Linked DNA regions of Schizosaccharomyces pombe. The gene in region 1 interacts genetically with each later gene. Each region holds a gene or a part of one and is shown in the gene's direction. Other genes may lie near its edges.

Region 1 (8,619 bases):
TTTTTTAAAAAAAAAAAAGAAGGCAAAACTGTACATTCTACTTTGGATGTAATCATTCGGTAATTTGCTTAGATATAAGCACAATTAAATTCATTACAATTGTTAAGATAAATATATAAAAAGCAAATAATACTTCTAATCGTTTGTACTTTTTGTCTACTTAAGACTATAAAACTAATATGTAACTTTTCTGTAAGTATAAAATACGTATTGAGGAACCCTCTTACACATAACATCACCACCATTCTATAGGAATTGCATCTTATACATTACTCATTGCATAGATTAAATTGCTAATAATCTACTTTTATTAAAAAAAGATTTAATCAGCTCATTTTCACGCTAGTTTTCCAAATTTACTGAAGTCTCATATTTTTTGCAAATATCTTCAAGTTTTGTTCATGAATGGTCGCCATTAACGACTCTACGGATTCTTCGTTTTTTAAAGAAAATCCTAAAATATTTAAGGATGAGCATGAGTTGTTGAGGTATATCGTTCCTTTCAAAAATTGGGTAATTGGAAGACCCGACAGAAAAGAATATGCAATTCGCAATGGAGCTCCAAAGCTGTTGCTTAATTTATTTTCCTTAGAAAATTTATCCATGAATGAAAAATATCAAGTTTTTGTTGTTTTAAACTCCTTGATGAGTGAGGACCAGGACCCTTTCGTTCAATTTTTACGACACGAGGATCTTCTTTCCGTTATGCAAATGATTTCGAAAAGGGATAGTACACCATATGGAATGCTGAATATCACCCTTAAAGTTTTTAACACAATGCTGAGTTTTGACAAAGCAGCAGAATATGTCACTCAGTTACATTCGGACTCTATAATTAATCAAATGTTTGACTTGTATACTTTACCCTTGAAAGAACAACCTTCTCTTGATGTGTTGCGTATCTCAAATTTATCTTCTAAGATTTTGCATCGTCTTATCCTTTATAACTCTAAAGTTGGAGACTCTCCACGATTCTGTTCTGCTTTATTTCAAATCACTAACAGAGCTACCCAATTGCGCTTGTATTCCAGAAGAAGATTTTGGAATGATTGCTCTATCTTAATTACTAACTCCCTGGGTACTTTGAATGCTTATTTAAAACAGCATGTGAAGTCTTATAAACAAAGAGAGAAAACCCGGCTAGAATCAAATGGTCACGTTTCGCCTCGCGATATGGATTTAGATGAAATTGAAAATGTTTTTGAGGGAAACAAGGATAAGGTCGCCTTATTTAAATCAGAGATATTTGGGCCTAATGGTGATGAATATATTACTCAGTTATTCTGTCTCGTTAGACAGTTTGATCCTTGTATTCGCTTGCTCTCAATTTCTTGTTTAGTGACCCTATACAAGGCAGGCATCCTTTCTAAAAATCAAACTAAGGAGATTCAAATGATAGTAACTCCCATTCTCATCCGTTTATTTTTTGAATCTCGAGAAGCAAAACAAATCGCTCCTCGTATTCTCGCCATCATAATCAATGAAAACGAAATTATGCAAAAGACGGCTGTAAATGCAGGTTTTATTGATGCTGCCAAATATCTTCTAGAATACGCAACTAAAGAAGAAGAGAATGAAATTAATTTTTTATCCGATGAATTGCAATCCAGCGTTTGTTTTAATCTTCCTGCTACCAAAAAGGAGCAAAAAAACCTAATCTTAGAATCAGTTTTGCTAGCCGTTGCTGCATTAACAACTTCTAAAGATGAATACAGAAAACTAATAGTTGATGCTAAATATTTGCCTGTTATCATTAATGCTTTGAAAATCAATTCTAACAGCGTGAAAAAGGCTGCTTGTGAATGCTTATTAAGTCTCTCGAGAAGCGTTTACATTTTACGTACGGGCCTTGCCGATGCAGACGTGAGCGAACCATTAATAAAGTTGCTTTCTGACCCGGATACTAGAGTCAAATCGACTGCTACGTCTGCCATTTGTAACTTGGTACTTAAGTTTTCTCCTTTGAGAGAGAAATTCCTTACTACAAATTTCATTGATACTTTGATATCAAATATTAGTACGAAAGATAGCAGTCTAAGAAAGAAGACCGTGTGGGTTCTGCGGCATGTTGTATTTGGTGATGATGAGACGATCCAGCTTGAACCTTTAAAAAAGATCGGTGCTTCAAAGCTTGTGGAACTTTGCAATGACGAAGATCTGGGGGTCCAAGAGCAAATGTTGCAAGTGCTGCGAAATTTTACATGTCAGAAAGAAGAAAGCGTGGATTTTCTTTTGAAAATGGTTCCTATGGAGTTGTTAGCAAAAATTTTGCTTGAAAAATTAGAAAGTAAAAATCCTATCCTAATTGAACCCAGTATTTACATTTTGGTGCACATCGCTGCCAGCGATGGTGAGCTTAGGGATTCTATCCTAAGGCAAACCAAACTACTACTATTGGTGAAGGAAATTATGCTACAAGAAGCACAACGTCTCAAGCCCGAGCAAATGTCCACAAATGTGTCATCTCCGGAAAGTGACAGTGAAATGGATTTGCAAGAAGATGATTTTGATAGGGAAATGCGTCCTCCTTTCGATATTTATGAAGAGGACACTTATGAACCAAACTCCGAAATTCTGTTGGCCGGAATTTGGCTCTGTATTAACATTCTATGGCCCAAACAATGTACATCTCCAAGCCAGGAAGATAAGGAAAGAGCAAGTATCTTACAAAATCTCGGATTTGGAGAATGTTTGCAGATGCTACAAAATCACTCATCTCCTGATGTAAGGGAACGTGTCAAAGATGCCTTGATGTACATCAATGTAACCGATTAATTTCTATTACGCTTTTCCGTTGTCTTTGCCGACTTGATTGGAACAGTCTAACAAATCGGAGCCATTTTCGCATTTAGTATTTCTGTATGTATAAATGTGTGCACAACTCTTGCAGCTGAAGTTAACAGGTTGTTGGATTGAAGTACTTTGAGAATGATCGTATATAAAAAGATTTAATGATTTATCAAAACGAATAAAATAAGTATTATGAACATTCAACTTATATGTATGCGGGATAGTGTAAAAACCTATTTAACATTGTAAAAATTTTTTAAGGAAAGTTGTACTTTGACAAGAACAATTTCATTTACATGTATTCTACTAAATTTATCAGAATGTTGGGAATTTTTTTGTTGGTATATAATGCCGAAAGGAAATTAATCGAATATGAAGAAAGTGGCGGAACTAAAAAACAAAACCCACAAACTAATTATTTAAATAAATATAACATAATAACTTGTTAAAATAAGAGTAATACTAGAGAATGTGTGCTCAAGTGGAAAGCATGTAATACTTGCACAACGTGATGGAAGAGATTAGTGTAGTAGCGCAGCGACAGCTTCCAACAACCAACTAATCGAGGAGGAAAGCAAAAGTGAGAATTGAAAAGAAGTAGTACATTAAAGACCTTTAAATTCTTTGAAAGAATTGCCTTTATAAAGGTAGTCTATTGCATTTCAAAGTACTCTCAAGATGAATTTAGAATTTTCTTTTGGAAATTTGATCGCCAAAAATACCGAGAATTCGACTAAGGAAGAAGGAACTTGGGAAGTAAACAAGCTCATGAAATTTAGTTCAGAGGAGGGGAGGTCTTCCTCTGATGATTATATGTTTTCCTCTCCCGATTTTGAAAAAGCCGGAAACGGCGATGCAGAAATGCGTGAATTTTTTAACTTCGATGGATTGCCGGATCAAGGTCTAAATTTGCCTAGTATAGCTCCTCCGTCTTTATCCCATGCCAGTTCACCTAACTTATCGAATTCACAAGATGAAGCGGAATGTTTACCGTCTGATCGTCAGCAAGACTACATCAATCCTAGTTTGCATTTGAACAGAACGGTGTTTCCTACTCCGCAACATTCTATTTCTGATGCTAATTTTCTAGCTAATACCGTTGATCAACCTTTGGGAGATAATCCCATGTTTGGAGAGTCGGATGTTTATCTTTTAAAAATGGATCCTATGAAACAAGCACCTTATGAAGCTGGATTTAATTCTGTAAAGTCATCGGGCGCCATCGAAGATCCATTACAGTTTAGACAGCCGATTACCATGTTGGAAACTCCCTTCAACGAATCTATTAATACTCTTACGCCATATGCCGAAGATTATGCATTTTCCTCTTTAAATACGTCTGCACCGCCTCTTTCTAATAAGGAGTACGCGTTCTCAGTTAATCATTTACCAGCTATCAATGAGCACAAATGGAAATCTCGGGTGGAAACTAACATGCTTTTTGAGTTGCGGATCAAGAGCAACGATAATCAAAGTGTTCCGTTTGAATATCTTCGCTTGCCAAGTTGGGCTCACCGTGAAGACAAAAAGCGTTCTTCGAAACCTCAGCCTTTGCAACCCGATCCGGAGACCGTCATTCATCTTGTACCTACCGTTCTTGCAGGTGACAAAAGCTCAGTTGTTAAGACTTGCTGTACTCGCTGTTTACTTCGAGAAAGGAAGCGCAATGCTCGATCTCAAGCAACAAAGGATGCTTGTATGCCTAACTATACTAAACTGAAGGCTTATGAGCGTAACATGACTGATGCCTCTCCCGAAGAAAAGCAGCAGTTCAGGATCAAGCTCTTAAATCAATTTCCCAAACTTGAAGACATAGATGAAGATAGAATGATAATGGTTTTTACTGGACCTGAGTACGTTCGTTTGCAATTGGATGGAAATGAAAGAGTTGCTCACATCAATGCACGGATTACATGTTACTCGTCTCATCAATCATGCCCTTACTTTCACATCATATGGGACTTATACTCCATGTCACGTTTGGTGGATCGTCTTGTTTTTCCAGAGCCTGTTACCGTTCTTGATGATCATAAAAGTAGAAATCTTACGAAATCAGAAAAGACTGGTAAGAGCAATTCTCAACAAGCTCCTTCAAACCATGTTCTTTCTAAAAGCAATACTGTCCCCAATCTTGTCACTGGTTTCCCTACCCGTTCAGATAATCCACCAAATGAAAAGCGTCGTCGAACATCCTCGAGTGAAAATTCTAGAGCACTCGACATACAACTATCTGCTAGTGACTCGCATTCACCTAATTCGAAAAGCACTTTGAAAAGTGTTGAGGGCTCAGCCTTTAGTATGAGCAAATCCCCTTCTGTGCTGAGTATGACTACCCCAAGCGGCGTAAGTCCTTCCATTTCAAAGAATGGTTTCCATGTTGTTCGAGTTCCCAGCGATGCCGCTGGTTTCCAACAAAGACAACAGCAAGAGGAAGGAGTGCTTGAAGCCCATACAAATGAAAGTGCCCCAATAGCCCCATTCCCTTACTGTACAGATGATTTCTCGTTTTCCGTTGAAGAAAAAAGTAGTGTCAACAACTTGCTTACACAATTTGATGAGGTTGCTAAACCTGATTTTGTAAGTACGCCGATAAAAGAAAATGTTGATTCTTCTTTTATAAACATGACTCCACCTGATGTTTCACATGCTCCCTTAATATCTCGGATTATTCCTAATAAGGGTTCAATCATGGGAGGTTATGAAGTTACAATTCTTGGCGCGAACTTTTTTAATGGATTAGTCTGTTTATTTGGTGACAACCCAGCTGCTGTAACTTTTTCGTGGAGTGAGTCAACGATTATAGCGACTTGTCCTCCTGCAACTAATGCTGGAACCGTTCCTGTAACCTTTCAGAACTATAATTCATCTTCTGAAGCGCCAGTAATGTTTACTTATGAAGATAATTTAGATAATGAACTTTACAAATTAACTGTTCAAGTTTTAGGCTTAAAACTTACTGGATCTATTCAAAACCCATTAACGTTATCCAAAAAATTGTTGAGTTCATGGCGCGACGATTTTGCTCAATATATAACAAATTCTATTAAGCAGCCTCCTAACAGTGAATCTAAAGGTCAGTCTAAAAAAACCTTATTGCATGATAGCAATATGGAATCGCTTAAATCGGTTATTTCGCGGATTGTGAAAAAAGACAGTAATCAGTCTGATGACAGTGTTGAAAGTACTATCCTCGCAGCATTTGCTCTTGTTACAGATACAACGACACCATACCTTTCTGATTTTAGTCTTGTTAACGAATCTGGTAGGTCACTTCTCCACCTTACTGCTGCCTGTGGATTGTCTAATGCTTCGACGTTCTTATGCAACGCAGGATGCGATGTTAACAAAAGGGACGCACTTGGCTATACACCACTGCATTATGCTTCATTGTATGATCATAAAGACATATGTGTTAATTTACTTTCCAACGGTGCCAAGCCTGATGTTATAGGAGCTAGCGGTAAAAAACCGATAGACCTCTCCTCTTCTGAGCCTATAAAACTGGTCTTTAAGGAAGCAAATAATGAACAAGCCCAAAGTATTTCTCGCTCTCTTATTAAGGATTCTGAAGGCTCCATTAATACAAATGAAACCTTAGAATCAACCAGTATTGTTAACGAAATTGAGGAATCTGCTGTTCAGACCAAGTCATATAGTGAAAGTATGTGGAATAAAACTGTTACAATGTTTCCATCGCTTCAAGAACTACCTCAGAATTATATGAGTGAAGTTCCATCCATGATGCAAAAAGCCATGCTGTCAACCTTAAAAAGTATATCGGCCATTCCCGATGATGTACCCCCTCCTTATTCTGAGTTTGCTGATGATACGACAGCGCAAGCTGGTTCTAGTAAAAGAGATAGCGCTATATCTGAAGATCCCGATCATCACAAAAGTGTTTGGTGGTCTTTGAGATGGCAATCTCGGCTTGTTGGTCGTGGAAAATCTACTGCTCTTACTCCTGAAGAAACCAGAGCAATACAGGAGCAGGCAAAGACACTGAAAAAGGCAGGAATGGACTTTATGCTATTCTCTTTCTGGTTACCTGCCCTACTTTTGCTGAGTATCTTTGGTCTTCGAAGCTATGCTCAAATGATCGGGGGATATTTATATCGCTGCATAATTGGCATTTAGGTTTGACGAACAACCATGCATGTTTTTTTCTTTCTTTTAGTTTTATTCTTTTTTGTAGATTATGAGCAAACTACTGTCAAAACTTAGGTATTATGACAATGAAATCGTATATATTATATTCGATTGGATCAATTTTTTATTATATTGAAAGTAATTGCTTATTTTGTAAGTTAAACTTACATGGGTTTAAACGCATAGAGCAGGTTGGCGCTTTTAAAACCAAAATAGATCGTTGCAGGTTTGCTGTTCTGGATCGTGAATGCAATACCTTAGGAAAGTCTTTTAATAAGCTATCGCTTTTTGCATTGCATTCTTTTTCTAAACTGAACGTTAGATTAGCTAAAGTAAGCGTCTTGAGTTTTCGAGATGAACCGCATACATTAAAATTTTTAAGTACCAATTGGCATGAACCGGTATGCGATCTGCTTATTATAATACTAGTAAATCTTGATACTCGGCAAACTCTTTCAATAATAGCCTAGCAGAAACTGGGATATGTCTAAAGTTTTACAACTGCGCTCAGCTTAAGGACTTTACGGCGATCCATTTAATAGCTAGCCATGAACACTCATAACCTCAAGATTGAGGAGTGGGTCATTCTTTTGCTTGATAAAGAAACAAATTCATTATTGGTAAAATAAAACTGAATAACCCTTAGTTCATCCTAGGAATTTGAAGAAGGGGAATGATCAAGCTTGAACAAGTAACTCTCACGCAGTCTATTGAATAATCTGAAGGTTCATCACTTTCAAGGGGTTGTCTTGGTTTAAAAAGCTTTTACCAATTCCATTTAGGTTTCTGAGAAAGGCTAAAACTCATTTGTTGTTCTTAAAGGATATTTGGATCATTCGTTGATCAAGCATGGGAGAGGACGTTATTGACAGTCTTCAGTTGAATGAGTTATTAAATGCTGGAGAATATAAGATTGGAGTGAGATATCAATGGATTTATATTTGTTTTGCTAACAATGAAAAAGGAACTTACATTTCAGTCCATTAGAAGCTCTCAAGAATTACAAAAGAAGAATACTATTGTCAATTTGTTTGGAATAGTAAAAGATTTTACCCCTAGTCGCCAAAGTCTACATGGAACTAAGGGTATGCTTGCTTATCATGGTGGAAACTATACTTTTTATTTTTCCAGTCAAGAGCTAATAATCATGTTTTTAGATTGGGTAACCACCGTATATTTGTGGGATCCAACATGTGATACATCAAGCATCGGACTACAGATACACTTGTTCAGCAAACAGGGAAATGATTTGCCTGTAATCAAGCAGGTGGGGCAACCGCTTTTGCTTCATCAAATCACATTAAGAAGTTATAGAGACAGGACTCAAGGTTTGTCTAAGGATCAATTTCGATATGCACTTTGGCCAGACTTTTCTTCTAATTCCAAAGATACTCTCTGTCCTCAACCAATGCCTCGTTTAATGAAAACGGGAGACAAGGAAGAGCAATTCGCCTTGTTGTTAAATAAAATTTGGGATGAGCAAACTAATAAACATAAAAATGGCGAATTATTGAGTACCTCTTCTGCTCGTCAAAATCAAACTGGATTGAGTTACCCTTCTGTCTCTTTTTCTCTGCTATCACAAATAACTCCACATCAACGTTGTAGCTTTTACGCTCAGGTAATTAAAACTTGGTACAGTGATAAAAACTTTACTCTTTATGTCACTGATTATACGGAAAA
Region 2 (7,200 bases), 3.3 Mb from region 1:
GGATAATCAAAAGAACGAGCATTTTCAATCTGTTGGCTTATTTTATAAAGCTTAGCCGAATAAAAATCGATTGCGTCAATCTTTTGACCAAAAATACCAAAAAAATGAGTTTTTATTAACGGATGGCATTGATGATGTTGCCAAGGAACCTCCAAAAGTTGTTCTGGTGTTGATTCAAGTTCTGCTCTGTTTGGACTAAGATAATTCGAAGGAGGTAAAGTGGAAATTCCAAGCTTTTTGCAGTTACTTAAATAGATAGACCAATATTTTTCTAATTTCTTGACGTATTTACTTTTTTTAGACAGTAATATATCCATGTATGAGTAATTTCGGCATATACTTAAACTGTCTATAGAACCCACATCTAATTTATCAAAATATGCTTTTAAATTTTCCGTTGAACAAAGTTCATTAGGTAAACCAGATATAAAAACGGTTCTGTCCGTCAATCTATTTTGACGAGCCAGATATGATTGACGAATGTCAGCAATCGATTTTGTTGAGGAAAAAAGAACATAAAGAAGAAAAATGGAAATAAAGTAAGTAAAAAGAACGTAAAGATAGAGAAATCCATCACCAGGCTGTGGAAGACCTGGTATATCAGATAAATTACCAATTGGATTAAATAAAGAAGGTCCTAACACACCAACATTTAACTCACTACCATTAGCAATAATAGGAGATTGTACAATTGACTTCTTGACAAGTGGACTTGAGAAGAAATATTCAGATTTGGCAGGCATCGACAAAGTAATATTCCCGAATGCATCTCCACGAAAATGCTTATTGACGGGCATAATAATCAAAACGCCAAGCAGGGAAGCAAAAGAAAGGAATTTTATACCCATTTTAAAAAACAATAAAAAAACGTAGCCGTCCAAACCAGCACAATTTTGCACTACATCATCAGGGATGTTTACTAAATCCATTAACCATTTGTAGTACGATGAAGAAAGTGTAGGTAAATTGAGACCTTCAATGGTAGTTCTAGGGGCATATAGTACTTTCCATCTTTTACGAAAGAAGCAAAAGAATACGCATGCAGAGGCTCCAAGTAAAAAGGCGAGCCAAAATTGAGTTCTTAAATCGCTCGATGGATCTGTTTTCAGCGATGAATCTCGAATCTGTAGGAATTAACACCCGCAGATCGAAGATTCAAACAACGTTAGCAATTTTGTTACAAATGAGGGAAGGATAGGTATACTTACTTTTTCTAGGATCACTGTCGAAAATACCATATCCATTGAAAGCCATTATTGCAAAGTAGCAAACTTAAGGGTCCTTTCGTCAAATTATCGAGGAATGAATGAACGATCGTTTCAGAAAATCGAGAACAAGAAAAATCTGATCTATCCAAGTATTATATGCATGTAAAAAGTAACGGAAAAAGGAAATTATCAAAAGATACACTATTGAAATATGTTATGATAGTTTTTCATGAACGAAAATCTTTAAAATATGAATGTATGTAGAGGAGGGATAGTAGAACGATACTCATCCAATACCCATTCGCATGGTCTTTCAGAATGCGATATGTACTTAACGTAAATTAAGATGACGATGCATAAAAATATGTAACGTAATTACGTGGAGCTACCTTAAATTCAATTAGGTAGTTTAAAATCTATCCCAGAAAGCTAACTTACTGAGAAGTCCTCGCTAAACCATATTAGCGCATGTAGCATTTAATGAATTATTCGTGTGGATATTAGATAACTGATTTAGGTTGATTTTTGTAGCTTATACAATTCCTTTTTCTTTTTGGTATAATAAAGCCAAAATCGTAAACAAAGATGAATTGGAATAAACATTCTTTCACAATACTTCCACGAGTTCACATCGCCATGTGCGAACCTCGTTATATCTTTGACCTCGAATTCTTGTAGTCCTGTCCACTAAGGCGGCTGATAGTTAAGGCAAGGAGCTAAGTTACCACAGCAGATTATAATTGTTGTAGTAAGCGGAATCGCCGAGCTCAAACTGTTTATCGTTATACGCGTTGTGCTTTATAAACAATATTTTCACTTTAATAATATTCAATTAATATAAGAGTTAACAAAGTTGGAAACTACTTGTTAATAAAGCTTTCTTAAGGTACAAAGAAAGACATACAGGAATAGATTATCTACAACTTGTACCAAAAATGGACCAGAGCCAAAAAGAAGTGTGGGATGATTCAGAGCTCAGAAATGCCTTTGAAACCGCTTTACATGAATTCAAAAAGTATCATAGTATTGAAGCAAAGGGAGGAGTATCGGACCCGGATTCTAGGCTAGATGGTGAAAAATTAATTTCAGCTGCACGGACAGAAGAATCAATAAGTAAGCTAGAAGAAGGTGAGCAGATGATAAATCAGCAAACAGAGACGACATTGGAAGGAGATACACATATCCAACAGTTTGCAGATAATAAAGGCCTTAGCGACGAAAAGCCTGAAACAAGGGCAGCAGAGACACATCAAGAGTTTATGGAAGTTCCTCCCCCTATAAGAGGGTTAACATATGGTAAGTAAAAGGTCTTCTAAGAAAATTTATGACTCTCTATTATTAACATAATGATTTAGACGAGACTTACAAAAAGCTTATCATGAGCTGGTACTATGCGGGCTACTATACAGGTTTAGCTGAAGGACTTGCTAAAAGTGAGCAACGTAAAGATTAGCTTCTTGTGCTATTTTTCAAAGTTATGTATATCTTCATTGTTGATGTTGTTATAAAACTGTTATCCTACTTGCTATTGCTAAGATTTATTACTCCTATCAAATAGTTCTATTTCAATTTTCTTTCTAATAAGTAGAATTTATTTGGTCATTTATTAAATCCAATGGAATTTTTAATTGAATCAAAATAATATCATTTTTGCCTAATAGAAATTTTTTCTGAATCAAGTTGCTGAATTTGTTGGGGCATTCTACTCAGCGTTGTTTTTGTCTCTATTGTAGTCATAGTAAAATGCAAACCATTGAAAAATCAATTTATAGGATATGCTATGTTTACACATGTTTTTTAATGAACATTTGAAATTTATAAGTATTTAGTCCTTGATACCATTTATTCTGTTGTTTACATATATGCCTTGACTACTGCTAATCTTGTTACCTTCCATAGTCTTTTAACAACTATCGTTCGTCTCCACGGTGGTGATGTAGTTGTAGAGGGTGCCACAACACTCCCTCCGACAAGCTCCACCACCTACTAGCGATTTACCTATCACTACTACATAACCCGTTTTGAAGCGACACAAAAAGAAAACGTGAAAATTTGTGTCATCTATTAGCAAGAGCTGTCAATGGGTCAGACATTATCAGAGCCAGTCACCGAGAAGCACTCGGTGAACGGGAGCAATGAGTTCGTCCTTTATGGACTTTCAAGCATGCAAGGATGGCGTATCTCAATGGAAGATGCTCATTCTGCTATACTTTCAATGGAGTGCTCTGCAGTAAAAGACCCGGTCGACTTTTTTGCGGTTTATGACGGCCACGGTGGAGACAAAGTCGCGAAATGGTGTGGAAGCAATCTTCCTCAGATTCTTGAAAAGAATCCTGATTTTCAGAAAGGCGATTTTGTTAATGCTTTGAAATCTTCATTTTTAAATGCTGATAAAGCTATTTTGGATGGTAAGTTTGTTGTTAACAATGATAAAGTTGTTTTCATTGATATCATAACCATTTTAAAGTCGCCAAAAAATTGATGAATTTTGTGTTTGAAATTTTTATAGATTTTTTGTTCTTTTGTCTAGTTAATGCTTAGAAAAATTGTTACCAAGATAATAGAAATGTTTACCTCTTGATGTTGAAAAGTTGTTACATTTAGTTTGGTTTCAGAAAAAAAATTTGTCATTTCACTACATTGCATTTTGCTAACTATTTTGACAGATGATCAATTTCATACGGATCCATCAGGTTGCACGGCCACTGTTGTTCTTCGTGTTGGAAATAAACTTTATTGTGTAAGTCTTGGAAGTTGTTTAGTCTTACTAATTGTGTAGGCTAATGCCGGTGACTCAAGAACTGTCCTTGGCAGTAAGGGAATTGCAAAACCTCTATCAGCAGACCATAAGCCTTCAAATGAAGCCGAAAAAGCCCGTATTTGTGCGGCTGGTGGCTTTGTAGACTTTGGCCGTGTAAATGGAAATTTGGCTTTGTCAAGAGCTATCGGTGATTTTGAGTTCAAAAACAGTAATTTAGAACCAGAAAAACAAATAGTTACTGCCTTACCGGATGTTGTTGTACATGAGATTACTGACGATGATGAATTCGTCGTACTCGCTTGTGATGGTATTTGGGATTGCAAGACTTCGCAGCAAGTGATCGAGTTTGTTAGACGTGGCATAGTTGCTGGAACCTCTCTTGAGAAGATTGCTGAAAATTTAATGGATAACTGCATAGCCAGTGACACCGAAACTACCGGCCTTGGTTGTGACAACATGACTGTTTGTATAGTTGCCTTATTGCAAGAAAACGATAAATCAGCATGGTATAAGAAGATTGCAGATAGAGTTGCCGCTAACGACGGACCCTGCGCTCCTCCTGAGTATGCCGAAAATCATGGCCCAGGATGGCGTAGTGGCGATAACAATAAGAAAGTTATTGTCCCACCTAATTTTCATCAAGTAAAGTTAAATGGATCTGATGGATATGACAAAGATGCGAATGAAAATTCTAAGGAAGATGATTCCACCAACGGATCCCTTGCAGCTGGGTTCAGATGGAAAGAACACTTTTTCCCTCATAAAGCCGAGGAGGAAAATTCTTCAAGTGAAACCGATATCGTAAATTCTAACAAAGATGTTGCGGATGATCATAAGGAGGCTGTGTCTGCAGCAGATTGATTATTCCCTACTTCACGCATATTACACAATGTAACTTGCTTTTAGGAATATTCCTCGTAATTAGCATTATTTGTTGACTTATTATAAAAGTCACGCTAGGCGGTTTTGTTTCAACATTTTTTCATGCTTTTCTTTTGTTGTTCGTATAATACGTGCCTGCGACGTATACCGATTACCTCCGAGAATGAAAAGGTTTTTGGTACGTTGCTACTTTGCACTTTTTGATAGCATGCGATTTCTATATCAATTTTGTCGAATACTGTCTTTTATAATCCTGATTCAAAATCAGTTAAGATTATGGAAAATATTTCTCTGGCATGAGTAAACATACCCAGACTAATTTCCGATTGCCCTAATAGATATTGTCGAAGCAATATACATTCCCTTCAATATTCTACTAGTTCCATAATTTACTAAAGTGATTCAACATTTGTGAGTGTAGTCATGATATTATACTTCTTTACAATAATGGTATCATTAAACTAAGCGAAAATAGCTCCTTTATCATATTACTATCCCTCTGCTCCAAAGTCCTTTGTAAATTGTGTGTGCTTTTCTATATCACCAGCATTAAGCGTAGGCTTGACTTTACGAACTGCACTGTAGAAATCTCGAACAGTAAGTTTTGGTTCCATAATGTCTTCAGGATTCACCTCTAGCCAACTAGATTCAAATGCATCAGGATCACCAGGAGAACAAGGAGTTACAAGGGTCCTATTAGACTTGTTATCATATACCTCTTTGAAATGGGTAGCTGTGTGAATTCGTCTTACAGGCTCCATTATTGCATCACGAACAACAATAGAAATATCTGAACCCGAGTAGCCATCGGTCATTTTAGCAAGTTCTTTGAAATCTTGTGAGGTCAGTTCCGAAGGTATTTTACCGACATTAAGCTCGAACATCCGAGCGCGGGCATGAGCATTAGGCAGGGGAATGTAAATACGCTTTTCGAAACGTCGGCGAATAGCAGAATCAAGAGTCCAAGGAATATTCGTGGCACCCAGAACCAGAACTCCACTTTCATCCTTTCCAACTCCATTCATTTGTACCAAAAATTCTGTCTTAATCCTTCGAGAAGATTCACTCTCACCTTCGCTTCTGCTTCCGCACAGTGAATCGATTTCATCAATGAAAATGATAGATGGTTTTTGTTCACGCGCCATTTCAAAAAGTTGACGAACAAGCCTATAATGTTAGTCATGTAAATATTAAAGAGTAAATAGTTTTAACGTAGAATAACAAACCTTTCGCTTTCACCCATCCATTTACTAACTAAATCTGAGGAGCTAATCGAAAAGAAAGTAGAACCAGCTTCAGTAGCGACTGCTTTTGCAAGGTACGATTTACCAGTACCAGGAGGACCATAGAGCAATATTCCTGACCAAGGCTTTCTACCGTGTGAAAATAATTGCGGCAGCTTAATAGGTAGCAAAACTGTCTCTTTCAAAGCTTCTTTTGCGTTTTCTAGTCCCGCTATATCATCCCAACGAACGTTTGGTTTTTCTACTAAAATTGCACTAGTCAATGCACTTCTTAACTTTTTTGCATCAGAGTCTAACGCTTCATTAGCGGTTGGAGAATTGCTCCCCTCTACATTTCCATTAGAGACTCTACTTTTTGAAGAAATTTGATTGTTTTTCTCCTGTAAATAAACCTTGAGCTTCTCCGCTCTATCTAGATATTCGATAACTTTTGAACGAATTATTTCTTTAGATTTTTCATTTTTTTCATCTGAAATATTAGCAAACAATAACTTGAAAATGTAGATCCAAATATAAATTTCCTTATGAATCATTGCGACAATATATCCTCACCCTAATTCAAACTATTGAGTAACTTACATTTTAGGGCCATCATAAAATAATCTAGTGCACTTTGATAATATTTGTAAGCATCAGGATATTGCTCGGCATTGTCATTATCAATAGCAGTTTTTACTAATGAAATTGCTTTCTACAGTAGTTAGAATGTTAGACAAAGGTTCAAATTCGGACGAGTTACTCCATGCAACAGTCTTACACTTAAACAATCTGGATTGGACATCACAGAAGCCAAATATCAAATTAATGATGAAAAAGGTAGATTTAAAAGAAAATCCAATGAAATTAAAAAGCTAAGTTACTGAACGGGTCTGCTCTGGATAATGGGTTTTGGTGTGAGTAGTACAATCAGTAGCAACAATGGCTTAATGATGGCATTAAGTACCTAGAGGTACATTACATTTAGCTACTAATAACCATCCTCAATATTTTTCTCTATCGCACGATAAATTACATTTCATCACTAACAATTCTAAAGGAATAAGTTTGACTGCATTTTTACGGGGTATTTTTTTTTGTTCGCTATCGTCAACATTTGATATACCAG
Region 3 (7,327 bases), 3.5 Mb from region 1:
CATTCCGTCATCAATGATACATTGAGTTAATGTGGATTATTCTTTTTGAAACTCTTGGTACGAAACCACTCGTCAGAGGCTATTTCATTATTCGACTCAAATCTCACTATGTGCCACCCGGGAAAACGTCAACTATGCAATTTGCAATTATTGATTTAAGGCATCGTCAGCAGTTTATACTGGACGATTCTTCGGTTAGTGTAAGCAACTGCAGAAATTATTATGAAAACTCTACATCACCGAACGTTCCGTCTCGAAATTCTTAATTGTATCTATACCAAAGACAAAATTGATACCTTTTACATTATGTCTAAACTGAATTTAATGACTATTCCTTATTTCAAGCTTATTAATTTACATGCTTTATTGGTTTGTACCATGTTTGTTTGGATACTTAACATTGAGAGCTGAATGTGAAATATTGTTTCGTCCGTAAAAGTAAGGCGTACCTCATGGTTACGAGACCATGTGACCACTCAAAAATAGAATCCTCATTATTATAAAGTATCCAAAAGTCTTTGAACATATTGCTGTAATTATGATTTCACATGAATATTAACGACATTTTTCAACCGAGTTCACGATTTGCCTGACATCTAGCAATATCGATTTCACAATTGATGGACCATTTATAGGCTTCTTGCTTTAATTCTGATTATTTTTTTCATTGTTATATTGCTACAGTGTTAAGCTTCAACTTGTTGTTTTTCTGTTTATCATATTGATTTGCAAATTGTAACGCTCCTTGCTATCCTCAATAGTTGCCATGAGCCAAACGGTATAGCAAGAAGTGATCTCCAGCACTGGTTCCCCCACCCCCACATGATGTGTACATTTAAGAGGGCAGGTAACGCTAATAAATAGTATGATAAATAATACAAAATTACTGTTATAAAAATTTCAACAGATATCTAAAAAAAATTGATTTGATCATATCCCAAAGTATTGTAAACTCGCACAGGAGAATATTCTACCTTTAAAGATTTAGTTTTGTATTATGATTTTGTTTGACAAAAGTAATAGTCATGAGTAAATTGATTACTACATTTAATAAACAAATCTATATTCAAAATAGAAAAAAAAAATTCGCTACTTCGAAAGTGAAATTTAACAACATGAGACTTCAACCGAATTGATTTTATTTTTAAAGGAAACAGAACCAGAGCCATCAGAAAGACTCGGTCCTTACAACCGTTATGAACGGTTGTGGAAAACAGTATTAAAAAGAATAAAATCATGATAGCTACATATCATTGACATACACTTAACAAGGACATTGAAAAATGAGATTGGTGTAATCAACAGTAAATAAGTAAAAACATAAAGTTTGCACATATAGCCAAGAAAATAAATAAGCTAATACTTGCGAGCGACTTCAATAATAGTGCGAACTGGGCGTCCGCTCATGCCGTCACAATCCCAAGAATTAAGCTGCTTATCCATAACTCCGGCAATGTCTAAATGAGCAAAAGACAAATCTTTCTGGGCTAAGAAGCATTTAATAAAGGCAGCCGCTGTACAACAACCACCACCGGCACGACTAACATTGCACAAATCAGCATTTGAAGAACTTGTAAGTTGCTTGAGGTAAGCCTCGTGAAATGGCATACGCCAGAAAAGGTCTCCAGCATCATGGGAAGCAGTTTCAAGATTCTTCCACAACTCTTCTCCTTGAACAAATGCACCAGTAAATACATTACCGAGGGCTACTAGCATAGCACCAGTTAATGTGCTGGCTTCAATCACAGCCTTGGTCTTATACTGAGAAGAGACATAGTGAACTGCATCGGCAAGAATAAGACGACCCTCAGCGTCAGTGTTATCAATTTCTACACTAAGACCGTTGCGCATAAAAATAACATCTCCTGGCTTAGCAGCAGAGCCAGAAGGAAGATTCTCAGTTAAAGGGGTAACAAACACGGCATTCACGGGGATGGAAAGTTGTTCCAAGGCATAAATAGAGGAAAGCATAACAGCAGCACCACCCATATCAGCACGCATCTCCTTCATGTTTTGAGAAGGCTTGATACTGATACCACCGCTGTCAAACGTTACACCTTTTCCAACTAAACCAAGCCATCCATCATCTTTTGATTTTTCTTTACCAATGTATTGTACTTCTAAGAAACGAGGTGGAATATCGGAACCAGCATTCACGGTAAGTAAACCGTTCATCTTTTGCTCATCAATCCACTTCTCATCGTGAACGAATACTTTAACCTTTGAGGAATTTTGGAATAACTCTTGAGCAAAATGACAAAATTGAAGAGAAGTCATGTAATTAGCAGGACATTCCATAAGAGAACGAGCCAAGTTTTGAGCAGCTGCTTCAATCAAACCTACCTTAAAAGCATTCTCCTCTGCGGTTGCAGTTTTCTTCTCAGATGTGTTGCTAAGCAATTGGAAAGTTAACCTTTCAGGAGCAGGAGAGGTAAATAAATTTTCCTTTTCAACCACCTTTTCATCTTGATAGACGCTCAAATGGTCTCTACGAAGAGAAAAATCGTACGTGGCCAAGGCAGCACCCAAGGCAGCATCCTTGGGAAAACCCATACCATCGACAGCTATCGACTTTGCACCATTCGACTTTAAAATCTTAGCTGCCTCTGCAGCAGCTGAACGAACGGACTTTTCAGAAACGTTTTCTTCAAGCTGGACTATGGCAAGACGAACAAAACCCTGAGTGTTCCAAAAGAGACGAATGTCATTTTTTTTGGGAGATGTTTCAAAATACTGGTCAACAACTTGTCGATAATCTTCAGAAAAAACTTGTTTATCGTGACGAACAGCCAAAATCAAGGAATCGGCTTTTGTAGTAGCTAAAGGAATTCTTGGTAAAAGAATGGAAGAAAGTGAGCTCCAATTAAAGGTTCTCGTACTTAGACCTAAACCCTTCATTGTACGTAAGAAAAAAAGCTTTGCTTGTATCTTTGATTTCTCTTGATTTAGAAAACTTAATTAGACACTTGTAATCAAAAAAAAGGTAAAGGATTACGGATTATTATAAGTTCAATGAGAGTTGGATATTCGAAAATCGTTAACTCGTGAAACTACGAATACACGTAAATTCAGTATGCAAAAATAAAATACGATGTCCGATTGCAGATTGGGCAAGGGCAAGTGTACTTAACATAGTCTAGTGTGTTATTGAGTAGACAAGATCAACATTGTGATGGAAAAATACATTCAACAAGGCTAGACATAAAAAAGAAAAAGCACCAAAGGATTTTATTTCTTGATCAAAAACCAATTTTTAAGTAAGTCACACTCATTTGCTACATATATATTTGAACTTCTGCAGACGTATTGTTGCCCTACAATCTCTATTTAGGGTAACACAAACTGTTTCGGCACAAAAATCTGCCCCTAGTCAATTGTTAAGTAATAAATTCTATACAAATGTAATAGACAAAAATTTTCGTACATGTACCTGCTTGCAGTGACTCGGTTGTATTACAAAGATGCTCACGGTAAATAGTCATATATGGTTTTATATTTAGCCCTGCAAACGTTTCATGGCAACAAACATAAGCGTACACTTAAACACGTTCGACGTTAATAGAGGCATTAGTCTAATTTGACCAAGCTTTTAAAAAATTAACAATTTCATCTATTCAACCGTGATTAAAGGACTAGCAGTAATTTTTTTTATTTTGCAGTGACTCAACAGCCAAATCTATGGGAATTTACCAAGTTTATGTTTTAAAGAGGAAAACCAAGGACACTCAAGAACTACGAAGAACATCTATTTTGGTGTTTTATCAATTGACTTAGCGTAGCTATGATAGCTCTTTATACGAAATCGGTATCTAGTAGTGCAGACACTATGAGTACTTTATGGCTCTTAACGCTGTACACCGCATCCTTAATTGCCCAAATTTAAGCAAAGAGAAATAATGTTCTTTTGCCAGAATAGCGAGTTCGTCTATTGTTGTCGTTTCACCCTGCATCGAAGCAGATGCTTTTTAGTCTGAAAGGCCAATTTTGTACGTATCAAGGATGCCTGGGGATGTAGAAGGTTGCCAGCATCTTAAACTTAAACCGGCGGATGTTGAAAACTATCAAAAGATCTGTACCCAGATATTCAGTTGTCATGTAAGGCTTGTGAACAACACTTCATACAGTTCAATTTTCTTTTTCCATTCGATTCCTTTTAACATTTCTTTCATTTAGTTTGTCCCACGTCGCTGCAGTACTTGCAAACGCATCAACAAGCGGAGTATTCGATGCTTGAGTTGTCATTCTGTGGGATGTCTTTGGGGACATCATGGTGAAGAACACGCAATGGAGCACACTCATATGATCGGTACGTTTAGTTGAAAACATAGCTATTGATTTAGCAACGAAACCTTTTTGCGAATATCGAGTTAGGATGCAATTCCCGAATACCAATTACTAATTCTTAGGCGTGGATGTAAAAAATGGCCATACCTACTGCTTTGGCTGTCAAGACTACGTTTATCAGACCGAGTTGGAAACCCTTCGTTTTAAGATCAAGAATATCAAGGCATGGCAAAGTGATCACAAGAGACTTCCCGAGAAGTACAATCAAATGGTTTGCTTAGAAGCCTATCGAAAATACCCTCCAGTTTGCGCAACAGCAGGCTTGAGGGGGATCCAGAACTTGGGTGCTACTTGTTTCATGAGCGTCATTTTACAAAGTATTTTGCATAATCCATTGGTTCGAAACTTGTTTTTCAGTGGGTTTCATACTTCTACTGATTGTAAGCGACCTACTTGCATGACTTGTGCCATTGACGATATGTTTTCATCTATTTATAATTCTAAAAACAAATCTACTTTTTACGGTCCCACTGCTGTCTTAAATCTTATGTGGAAACTCAGCAAATCTTTATGTGGTTACTCCCAGCAAGATGGCCACGAATTTTTTGTATACTTGCTGGACCAAATGCATACGGAAAGCGGAGGAGGAACATCAATGCCGTGCACTTGTCCTATTCATCGTATTTTTAGTGGATCTCTGAAAAACGTTGTTACATGCCTAGATTGCAAGAAGGAGCGGGTGGCTGTGGATCCTTTGATGGACATTAGTTTAGACATCAATGAGCCAACACTTCAAGGATGTTTGGAAAGGTAAAATTTGCTCGTTTTTAGATTTTTTAACAAATATTATTTTAGGTTTGTTTCCAAAGAGAAAGTTCAATATAGCTGTCATAGTTGCGGGTCAAAAAATGCTATTAAACAATTGGTCTTTGACAAACTACCTCCAACTATTTGCATGCAATTGAAACGATTTGAACAAAATAACTTTGCCATGTCAACTAAAATAGATAAGCAAGTATCTTATCCAGCATTTTTAAGAATGCGCTACAACTTTAATCAAGATGATGTGGATTATCAATTATACTCAGTTGTGTGTCATAAAGGAACTCTCGACACAGGGCACTATATTGCCTATACATACTACCAAAATCAAGTATATTAAATTTTTTTTGAATTTTTTATGGAAATTTTTACTAATTTTTGTAGTGGTTTTTGCTGGATGACACCACAATTGTGGAAGTAAAGGAATCGGAGGTCTTAAATTCTCAAGCGTAGGCTCTTTGCTGTTATTTTTTTACATACTAACCAGATTATAGTTACCTATTATTTTACCATGAGCGTCAAATCCTATACAGTGATGAAATGACTGTTAAAACGGAAAATTGAGTTAGATTATGCGATCAGATATCCGTTCATGAACAATCATTATGAACCATGTAAAGTAATTGACTCAAAGGTTCCTTATTTATGTGGTTATGAAACATCATCACTTCGATAATCTAACTCATGAAGAAGCTTTTAGATTTCATATTGTTGAGGCCAGAAATGGCATTGGATTTGGAACCGTTACAACAGTCGCATTTTAATTAATGACCTTACGTAAATTTATAAAAAAAGTTAAAACTATAAAAAAAGAAACATGCTTTTTTTCTTTCAAAGTTAACAAATACTATAAGTTTGAGGAATTTGGACTTTTGTTTTGTTTCGTTTAATATTATTCCAACTAATTATAATTTTATCTTTTAAAAGCTAAGTCTTGTCGTCGAGTAAGCTATTTTATATGTAACTGTTAAAATGTATAAAATTTTAAAATATTAATAAGGAAAACAACTCTTTGAATTAAGGAAGCATGTCAAGTTCACAAAATCGGTAGTTGCAGATCGTCCAAATCCTCTGGAATGCTGCAATACTCACGAATTTGATTGGTATCGGCACCCATGTCTCGACAAAAAGCTATCAAAGTATGGATTTGATCGGTCCACAAATTGGCAGCTTCCATGTACTTTTTAGTATTCTCATTTTTTAATTCAAAGGTTTCAGGATTACAGTGATTTAAATTTGAAAGTTGTGTTTTAAGAAGTTTTAGTTCTGATTCTTTTGCATGTAGCAGTTCCAAAGTGTATTGATTGGCATCATTTTCGGTTCCTTCGTTATCCCTTTTGGATTTCTCGAAACTAATGTTTTCATCTAAAGTTTTAGATTTTTGTTTCAAATCATCAAGTTGAGCTTGAAGAGATCCGAGAACTGACTCTCTTGAACGTTTAGCATCGGAGGGAAAAGACCAGTAGTAATTGCTAGTGCCAATCTTTTCCGTTTTGACGATATTGTCGTCAACGAGAGACTGTAAAACGTCCTTTACAGTTTGCAAAACGATTTGCTTTTTAGAGCCCAGCTTTTCCACCTCCTTTAGTTGAAAAAAATCTTTCTATAAAAAAAACATAGATTAGCAATGTGGAAAGTGAGACACGAATGGGCAAAAATCATGTTTTGGCACTTGAACAATCATATCACGAACTTACAGAGTCATGGAAAATGGCCTCTAATCTTCTTCTTTTCTCTGCAAGCGATAGTCCCTTGGGAGGCATTGTTTAAAAATTTATTAATTAGTTTGAACAAATATGGAGTTTAAAAGTTTGTTGTGATGCAAGAAGTAGATGCTTTCTAATCTTTTGGAGAAATGAGAGTTTAGATCCCAAACATTTACTGAATGATAACGTAGTCTGCTAAAATGCACATCCGCACTTTCCAACTATGATATATACCCTATAATGTCTTACTATCGTATTGCAACATAATGCAATGCAAAACGTTATTCAGCTATCCTAATCTTTTTGACCCTTGAGGAAATTAAGGAATTAAGTGAATGGGGTTGGCTATTGTCGCACAAAAACATGTGAGGAAAACTTCCTTTTGCCACGAAATCGAAAAGACTCGAATACTGATAGCAGCATGATTTTTTTTTTCTCAAGAGCTTTTGTCGGCGCTCACCTTACTGTACGAATTCGGTTTTACAACCTTTTATTTATTTTTCACTTTATTATTT
Region 4 (8,471 bases), on another chromosome or scaffold:
CTACATCTATCATCAAAAAGCTAAGGCGAGAAAAAGGCTCCATGTAGATGTATTCTTTTGTTAGTAGGCAAGCAGCATTTATGAATTCTATTCAGATAAGCCTAAGTCCTTTTCAACTTGAGAAGCACAAATTTTATGATAGAAATGCTTATACTTTTCAAACGTTTCAATTGCAAAAGCACGATCTGCCTCATTCAACAGTCTGAAAATTGGGCGAACAAACTTCATACGGCCAACGCTGCCAACACGTTCTGCAATAGTGTTGTATAATGGCTTATATTTACTCTTCAATGCGAGTTTAAAAAACCGGAAAGATAACTCTGCATTTTTCGATTCGGCAAACGAGTAAACATCACCCATTCTTTTAATATAATTGTGAGGAAAAGAGACAGCTTCATAAACAACATCCAAAAACAAAGATTTCTGGCCCGCTGACCAATTTTCAATATCTTTGCTGCTAAACTTGGAGGGATCATCAGAATTTTTAGCAGAATTAGTCCAGCTTTCTGCAAGCTTGTAGCAAGGATCTGCAAGCGTTGTATCAAAATGTGGTTTAACCGGAGGCATACCAGGAGCATGGTACCAAGTATCCCAATCAATCGAGTCCAACTTAGATGCAAGCCCAAGAGGTGAGAAGTATTCATACAGTGCATGCTTGAATTTGACTTCGTTTACGGTAGACTTTGCAAATTTCCTAAAGTAAAAGGGAAGGAATGGTTCAAAAACAGAAGGACCACCAATAACCCTCTCTATTTCATAGAGGAAATTGGAGCCCTTTTCGTAAGGAACAGTGGAAAAGGCATCATCGGGATCCCTTCCTTCGAGGTTTTGAATCAACTTCGTATACTCACTATCTTCACCCAACAATTTAACCGATTCTTCTAATTCACCCCAGCCAATAATGGCTTCAAATTGGCGAGTCGGCTCACCATAAAGACGGCCTAAAATTTTGCGTTCCAAGAAAACAGTCATACCTTCATTCAACCAAAAGCATTGCCATGACTCATTAGTAACTAAATTACCGCTCCAAGAATGGGCTAATTCATGAGCAATAACGTTAACATTGGAGCGATCTCCGGCAATAAGTGTCGGCGTAGCAAACGTAGCATTAGGGTTCTCCATACCTCCGTATGGGAAGGAAGGCGGAAGGATGACAAAATCATACCGTGTCCAGCAATAAGGAAGTGTTAGTTGCTCGGCGGCTTCCATAAAGTTTTCCATGTCATGTTCAAATTCGTATTTGCAAGCTAACAAGTTGCCAGGCTCTGTGTATACAGAAGAACGTGGACCTATATTTGTGGAGGCCAAATCACCACTGAGAATGCAAAATAAATAACTAGGGATTGGATTTTTTTGCTCAAACAGGTATTCCAAAGAGCCATTGCAGAAATTAGCTGTTCCACATGGGATACCCGATGCGATTACGGGAAGTTTGGACCGGATCTTAAAAGTACACGGAACTTTAACAGAAGGAGTATCTTGACAGGGAATGAATGAACGTGCATGAATGGCTTGACATTCCGAAAAAACATAAGGAAATTTACCACCTATCGTTTGTTCAGGCTTCAAAAACTGAAGTGCTGTACAATCCTTAGTAGTGGAATATAAGATTGTAAGTATACAGGATTTTGAGGAAGGGATTTCATCAGCGGGAACGATATGCAAAGCTGAACCCAAAAATCCGCGCCGCTTATCAACACGGAAAGGAGTAGGGATGTCATTAATCGTTACATTCTTGATTTCGAGGTAAGAAGTGTCAAGGATAATATGGGACAGGGCTTGGGACACCCTAGCAGATTGAATCACAAAGGATACTTTACCATGGAGCAGCTCTTGGTCAAAGTCAATTCGAGCGTGCCAATCGAGCTTACTGATTGAGACATCATGATAATTAGATTGAGTGGAAGGGTCCAAACGAAGTTTCATATTTAAAATTAATTGAAGGAATTTAGGACAATGTACAAACGAATTCTTTAAACGAAAACAACGCTCAATATATTAGAAGCCTAGATAAAACCAACGAGTACAACGATCTCAGCTTTAGCAATATGAGTTATGCTACTGAGTAAATAAAAATATTAAGTATAAAATAGTTAAAACAGATTAATCACAGTTTTATAAAGGAAGGAATAGGAAAAGCGATCATACAGCAATACGATGAGTAGCAACATGTGTGGATATGGGTGCAGCGCGTTATGCTACTTTATCGATATCATTATGTATCACTACATTTATTTTCGTTGAGCAACGCAATTTGTAAATTCACAAAAGAAAACAGTTTATTGTTGAATAGGAGTTTTGGAGAGAGGGCTTTGAAAAGTAAATAATTATTATTTTTGTGCTCATAAAATTACCAAGAATGTTTGAAAGGATCATTGCCAATGATAAGTTATTATAAAAGAGACAGCGTCCCTTAGCTTGGGAATGTAAATAATACAATAACTGTTACGATTATTGATTTTGGTTTATTTTAAATAAAATAGTAAAAAAATGTTATTCATTTATTTGTAATTTCATAAGGTTTAGGCATAAACGAGAGAGAATTCCACAAATCTTGGTCATTCCCTCTTTAATAAGATACGTTTGTTAACAGATAACAGAAAGAAGGCAATATTACATTATCATTTATTGTAATATGAATTAGTTGTCTATAGAAAGAAAAATGAGCAATAATAGAAGTATTAGTCTTTGTGATCTTTCTATTTCTTCAATTACGAACAGAGTTAAAAGTTCGAATTTTGAATCGCAGCTCGACCTCCGAAGGGTAACCAAAAAACCCAAAATCTTCTGATACTAAAATACCAAAAAAACTGAACGCAACGTTTTTAATTTGAAAATTATTTCACCATTTCCGAAATCGAAGCGCTTTCTAAGTGTTTCCTATAATTCCTTCCTTTGGCTCACATATACTGAGTGCGACTGGTACAGCCTTGCTCAAGCAAAAACCAAGTCTCAGACTTTTTTGGAGAATGCAAGTAGATCCTGTAGTATATCAACTACAACGTGCTGTAAGTCAAGATCCCATTGCTGTTAAGGATGCTGAAGGGCATTTAAACAACTGGAAAAAGGAACCAGGTTTCTTTGGCAAGCTGTACAGTATATTTTTGGATAAACAAAATGACATGAGTTTACGATGGATTGCTATCATTCAACTACGGAACTCCATAGATATAATATGGAGGAAAAATACAAAAATGTAAGTTAGGAGTAGTCTCGAAGAATCAACCTGTACTGTTAGACTTTCGTAATTGCTAATGTATGATTGTTTGGCAGGTCTTTACTTCCAGAAGAACGTGACTTTATACGATGTAATGCTCTTTTAGGATCTATAAAATCTGAAAACCTCTTATCTATTCAAAATGCGCTGGTCGTCTCTCGAATTGCTAGATTGGATTATCCCACCGAATGGCCTTCTCTTTTTCACGATCTTTTAGGCAAGTTACAGCAGTCATTGGGTACAGGAGATTACGATGTGGCTTTAAGATTACTAATTACTCTTCATCACATTATCAAAGCAATGGCTGGGAATCGTCTTTTGAGATCGCGACAGATTTTTTACAAACTTGCTCCAGAATTGCTTACGATTCTTCAACCCATTTTACATTCTAGTTTATCAAGCTGGATGATGATACTTGAATCTTCTAAGGAAATTAAAGATTCTACTTTGTTGTCTTATATGCAAATATCTCGATACACGCTTAAGGCATGTAGACGGTTGGTTGTTTTTGGTTTCCAAAATCCTAGTGAAAGTGAATTTAGTGAGCGTATGTTAGCTTTTTGTGCTGTTCATCAGCGAAAACTTTTGAGTATGCTTGGTACAATGCTTCAATCCTCGCGGTCTCCGATAGTAGTTGGGGAGTGCTTAGAAATGGCTTTTGCACATGCTTTCTTATTCAATAAGCCATTCTTTGATTTTTCTTTCTATAGTCCATGCTTGACTAAGTTTCCAGCTACTATTGATTACATTTCATTGCACTATGATTTTTTGGGTCAAATCAGTTCTCATCTTTCTTCATACAAAGAAAAGTTTGAAGAGAGCTCAAAAAATTTTGAAAAACTTGTGATTATGAGCTTACGAGTATTTATCCTTGTCATCCAAGAATTCTGCAATACTAAATCGTCGCACCCCGAAACGGCTCAAGTTCTTTACAACTCATTTCTCGTAGATAATCGTATAAACAATCTTTTGGATTTACTCATCACCAAACTACTAATATTAAAAGAAGAAGATTTTGAAGAATGGACGGATTCCCCACAACAATGGGTCCTTGAACAATCGACCCAGGATGTTGAGTTTAACGTTAGGGTAAGTTGATTATGAATATGGGTTTTTTGATAAGCTTATCATTAACGATAATATAGCCTTGTGCCGAAAAACTTTTAAAATGCTTCTTTGATGCATATGGAGATATTATCGTTTCGCCGTTCAAGGATATGATTTACAGCGTTTTTGAGTGTCCAAAGACGTTAACACAAGCAGTTCAACAAGACACTTTGATCAGTTCTTTCGGAGTTGGATATACCCAATTGAAGAGTATTTTTCCTTTTGCAAAATGGCTACAGGAAGCCGCAGTTCCCAACATGGCTTCCATTAATGATATTGGGATATCTAGAGTGTATCGACGAAGAATTGCCATTTTTTTATCGCAATGGATTGAAGATTCTTCTTCAGAACAACTCCTTGAGGTTATTTACAAATTGTATTGCTCATTTCTCAACTTAACAGATCCTTGCAATGACGCCGTAGTCATTTTAACAACTATAGATGCTTTCAAAACCGTTTTAGATGATTGGAATTTTTCTGAGAATTCATTTCTTTCTATCAAAGAAAATTTGTTTGTCCATGTTCTTTCTTTGTTTAAAGCGTTTGAATCAGTCGATGCTAGGACTTCCATCTTGTCTTTACTTGGTACTTTATTGGCAAGGGCCGGAGAACATGTTGCTCCCATGGAAAGTACCATTGCTTCTCTCCTTTCTCAATTATGGGATGGTTGGAAAAAGGAACCGCTGCTGCGAGCACGAGTTTTGGCAGTTATGCACCAATTCGTCAATGTAAGTGTTTGGCTATATACAACAGACTGTTTTCTTATACTAATTTCTAGGCGATCAAAGCAAAATCTTTTGAATTTTCAACTTTTTTATATACGGTAATAGAATATTGTGTAAATCCGGAATCTCCAGAGCATGTTATTTTCGAAGCGGATGCAATGGAATTGTGGAGCACCTTTCTCATGTACATACAAAAATTGCCAGAAACTTTTACCCTACTTATCCCTCATTTATTGTACCATCTTTCACAGGCCACGTCTACCCTTCCATTCGTTCTAATGATAGTAAGCAGTTATCAACTTTTAGACAATACCGTTTTGATGAAGGATTACTCATTTACCATATTTGAAAAGTTGAACGACTTATTAGACGATGTAAAAAACGAAACTTTGCAAGCACTATGTAAAACTGTATGTCTACTCATTGAAACTACTCCGATGGATATGATTTACGAATCATTGCTGAACAGTTCACTTCTGTCGAGGCTCCTACTCTCCATTGCAACAAATGATAAACACCCTCAGGTGTTGATTGAATATTTATTGGTGGTGTCACGCATCTCATTGCGCGAGCCGGAATTAATATTGAAGGTTTGTCAAACGAAAAATATCAACATAGCTATGCTTATCGGCAACTGGATTTTATTAAACGACCACATAAACCACTCGAAAGATCGAAAACTGAACACACTCGCCCTCAGCTCTCTGCTGCGAACAAATCATCCCGACGTTTTGGCAGTGTTGGATTCTATCATGAATTTATGGTTCAGCGTTTTGAGTGAGGTGGAAGAGGATGCGAATGGAGATGCAACGATTTACTATAAAAATGATGACTACTCGGCTGTTGGGTTTTATCTCGATGAAACCTCAGAAGAAATGACTCGACGAAAGCAGGTAAGTGAATGAGAGGCTAGAAATATGTTTATTGTGTAAATGAAAAAGTTTTATTTGTTTGCTTTTGTTTTATTAATACTAACTTTTATTTTAGCTGCTTTTAAAGGATCCCGTTCATAGTGTTAACTCTCGCTCATTTTTTATTTCTGTATTTATGTTTTGCAGAGACGCTAATGGTGGAATGGAGAATTTTCAAAACCAATATTTATCGACGGTCAACCCAGCGTTGTTAGAACAGTTTCAATCCATGCTATAGGAAAAAAGAAGCAGTAAAAACAACATCATATTTCATGATAAAAAAGTTGGTGTTAATTTGTATATCTAAATTAAGCCAGTTGCTACGATTTTTGTTATACTGATTAAAATCCCAATTCAAGCTAACATGATGGATGGGAAATTTGGTTGAACTGCGGTTCAGAAGGAACAAAACTTACCTTTAAAAACCCTTCTAAAAAATTTCCTATGCGATTTCTTTAGCTGTCGCACGCTTTTTTCACTTATTCTAATACGACTCTGCCTTTCCTATCCGCCAATATCGTCTTAGCCAGTATATCCAAATTATAAGTATAAACATGAATACAGTAATAAGAGAACTGTTCATTCTTAGGTAGGCCTTTCTTATATAAACATATTCAGGTAAAATCAACATTAACTTTATATTCATTATGACTATTGAAGAAGCGATTCCTCAGCCTGTGCAAGCTGTCAGCTATATTTCCAAAGATTGGAATGATAACGTAATAAAACACAGTGATACGAAAAGAAACCATAGTAAAGAGGAATCATTGTAGAGAATCTCAGTAAAGTATGGAATCGCTATAAAGAGAAAATTGAACAGAGGAAAATCGCAGCAAAGAGATATGGTAGTACAAACAATCCATGCCTTATACAAAAGGTAAAGGTAATTCGACAGTACAATGATATTTTTTAAAAAAAACATGTTCTTTCTACTACAATTATTTGGCTTGTCACTTGAGGCAAAGACGGCGAAGCGTTTATCCATGATGATAAACAAGCTCGCCATCTCTATACTTAAGGGCTTGCATTGTATGGAAAGGGCGCAATTGCCGTGCCCTATAAGAAGAACTTTTGATTTTTCAAATGAATTTTAGATCTTGAAGTCAGGCGACAACAGCCAAAACATCATCTCATCTCATTCATTCAACAATGAGGAATGGGCGATTTTTCATCCAGCGTTTTTATCAGGTCAATTGCGTCGATCTCATTGTACACCAAGATGATGGATATGTAATGAAGCCAGCCAGTCGGCTTATGAAAATTTTGCTAATTATAAGAAATCAATTGCAAGTAACAGAAATGAGATGGATCGCTGCATCAACAAGGATAATGAGATAGACAGATAAAGTTTGTTGAAAATTTTCACGACAGAAGAAAATCACTCAACTAATCAACTCAAAATGGAATAACATGGAAATTTATTTCGCCAAACAGTGCAGAAGCCACTCAAAAGTGAAATGAGCAATGGAGGGGAGGAAGGAAAGATTGGTTGATTTGCTGTATCAGATGAAATTCATGGGTGAATGAAAAAGAAAAAAAGGTTTGCAAGAGGATGGATGAGTGAGATTGAAAAAATATTAGATCTCGAATAAATTCTTTCTATCCATCTTTCATAGTATACAATCGAAAACAAGATAGAACACATCCATGCCATCCATACTTCTATCTTTTTTTTTCTTTCTCTCTCTCTCTCTCCCCCCCTAGCATTCCTCCAACAACCTCTTTATAAACGATATCCTCTTCTCTTCCCTTCCTACACCAATATCCTCCTATTTTGTCTCTGATGTCATGCTGACCTCCACCCACTTTACACTTTTACCTCGCCATTGCACCGTGTCGCTTACCGCAAAACCTCATCGAGTCATGGATGCGCAACGTCACCACCATCGTAAGCGAATACAGAGTTGGAACGAGCGGCTCGCATGATGCCAATGACGTACGTTAACGAAGGACGTCAAAGTAGGCAAATCCGCCGACATAAACTTCTTGTCTTTCGCATACCACGATTGTTGGACACCAACAATATATTTCTGTGAAAATCAATTGAAAAGCTAATTTAGTAATTTTTTGGAGACTATTGGAAGGGTACCCAGTATTGGAAAGTTATATGATTCTTAAAAATGTACGTTTGTAAATGTTTGCTCACTCGTTCGTGTGGGTAATGTTTGAGTCGGATTTTTGTTTGGATTGTGGATGTAAACGCGGATATTAGAGGCTGGAGATGAGTATCGGAAAGACTTTGCGTTTGGAGAGTGTTGTTGACGTTACACTTCCTACCTTTGGACTGGGTTGGGGATAGGGATCTTAGGAGAGATAAGTGGACGAATGAATTAGGACGGTTGGACAATATCGAGTCTTGGAAGATTACTGAATTCTAATAAAAAAAAAAGAAAAGCAAGAAGCGATTTTTTTCTTTTGTGTTTTTATTTCATTTTTATTTTCTTTCCAAGTCTGTGACTAGTTTTTTGGACTTTTTTTTGGATTTTTTTTTTCTTCTACGTCAGGTGCTTT

The links.
Region 2: mutations in mga2 (region 1) and ptc3 together harm fitness more than expected from each alone (negative genetic interaction), as found in Schizosaccharomyces pombe (2 studies listed by BioGRID).
Region 3: mutations in mga2 (region 1) and ubp8 together harm fitness more than expected from each alone (negative genetic interaction), as found in Schizosaccharomyces pombe (2 studies listed by BioGRID).
Region 4: mutations in mga2 (region 1) and kap113 together harm fitness more than expected from each alone (negative genetic interaction), as found in Schizosaccharomyces pombe (2 studies listed by BioGRID).

The regions. Positions count from the first base shown.
Region 1 is NC_003424.3:4,121,744-4,130,362, forward strand, and holds mga2 (IPT/TIG ankyrin repeat-containing transcription regulator), read left to right. Parts: upstream 1-3,339; 5' UTR 3,340-3,468; coding exon 3,469-6,924; 3' UTR 6,925-7,062; downstream 7,063-8,619. Other genes in the region: protein Gid5, read left to right, coding at 406-2,775; shelterin complex subunit Pot1, read left to right, coding at 7,786-7,854, 7,901-8,021, 8,094-8,619.
Region 2 is NC_003424.3:817,793-824,992, reverse strand, and holds ptc3 (protein phosphatase PP2C catalytic subunit Ptc3), read left to right. Parts: upstream 1-3,208; 5' UTR 3,209-3,288; coding exon 3,289-3,616; intron 3,617-3,864; exon of another isoform or gene 3,865-3,874; coding exon 3,875-3,948; exon of another isoform or gene 3,949-3,987; coding exon 3,988-4,830; 3' UTR 4,831-5,225; downstream 5,226-7,200. Other genes in the region: SPOM_SPAC2G11.09 (Ca(2+) transporter), read right to left, coding at 1-1,099, 1,209-1,254; smn1 (SMN complex subunit Smn1/Gem1), read left to right, coding at 2,144-2,504, 2,564-2,661; AAA family ATPase Vps4, read right to left, coding at 5,343-6,018, 6,078-6,564, 6,675-6,786, 6,853-6,876. UniProt on the Schizosaccharomyces pombe protein: Dephosphorylating regulator for many key proteins. Has an important role in osmotic stability and cell shape control. It may negatively regulate the osmosensing signal transmitted through wis1 map kinase.
Region 3 is NC_003424.3:578,063-585,389, reverse strand, and holds ubp8 (SAGA complex ubiquitin Ubp8), read left to right. Parts: upstream 1-3,909; 5' UTR 3,910-3,999; coding exon 4,000-4,095; intron 4,096-4,173; coding exon 4,174-4,306; intron 4,307-4,406; coding exon 4,407-5,094; intron 5,095-5,139; coding exon 5,140-5,437; intron 5,438-5,441; exon of another isoform or gene 5,442-5,490; coding exon 5,491-5,555; exon of another isoform or gene 5,556-5,600; coding exon 5,601-5,670; 3' UTR 5,671-6,037; downstream 6,038-7,327. Other genes in the region: ysp2 (peptidase family M17 cytoplasmic leucyl aminopeptidase yspII (LAP yspII)), read right to left, coding at 1,357-2,898; protein Mcp7, read right to left, coding at 6,143-6,709, 6,804-6,869. UniProt on the Schizosaccharomyces pombe protein: Histone deubiquitinating enzyme component of the transcription coactivator SAGA complex. SAGA acts as a general cofactor required for essentially all RNA polymerase II transcription.
Region 4 is NC_003421.2:1,293,989-1,302,459, forward strand, and holds kap113 (karyopherin/importin beta family nuclear import signal receptor Kap113), read left to right. Parts: upstream 1-2,936; 5' UTR 2,937-2,969; coding exon 2,970-3,196; intron 3,197-3,273; coding exon 3,274-4,306; intron 4,307-4,362; coding exon 4,363-5,052; intron 5,053-5,102; coding exon 5,103-5,942; exon of another isoform or gene 5,943-6,036; coding exon 6,037-6,198; 3' UTR 6,199-6,589; downstream 6,590-8,471. Other genes in the region: aminopeptidase Lap2, read right to left, coding at 88-1,926; protein mug150, read right to left, coding at 6,652-6,966. UniProt on the Schizosaccharomyces pombe protein: Functions as a component of the nuclear pore complex (NPC).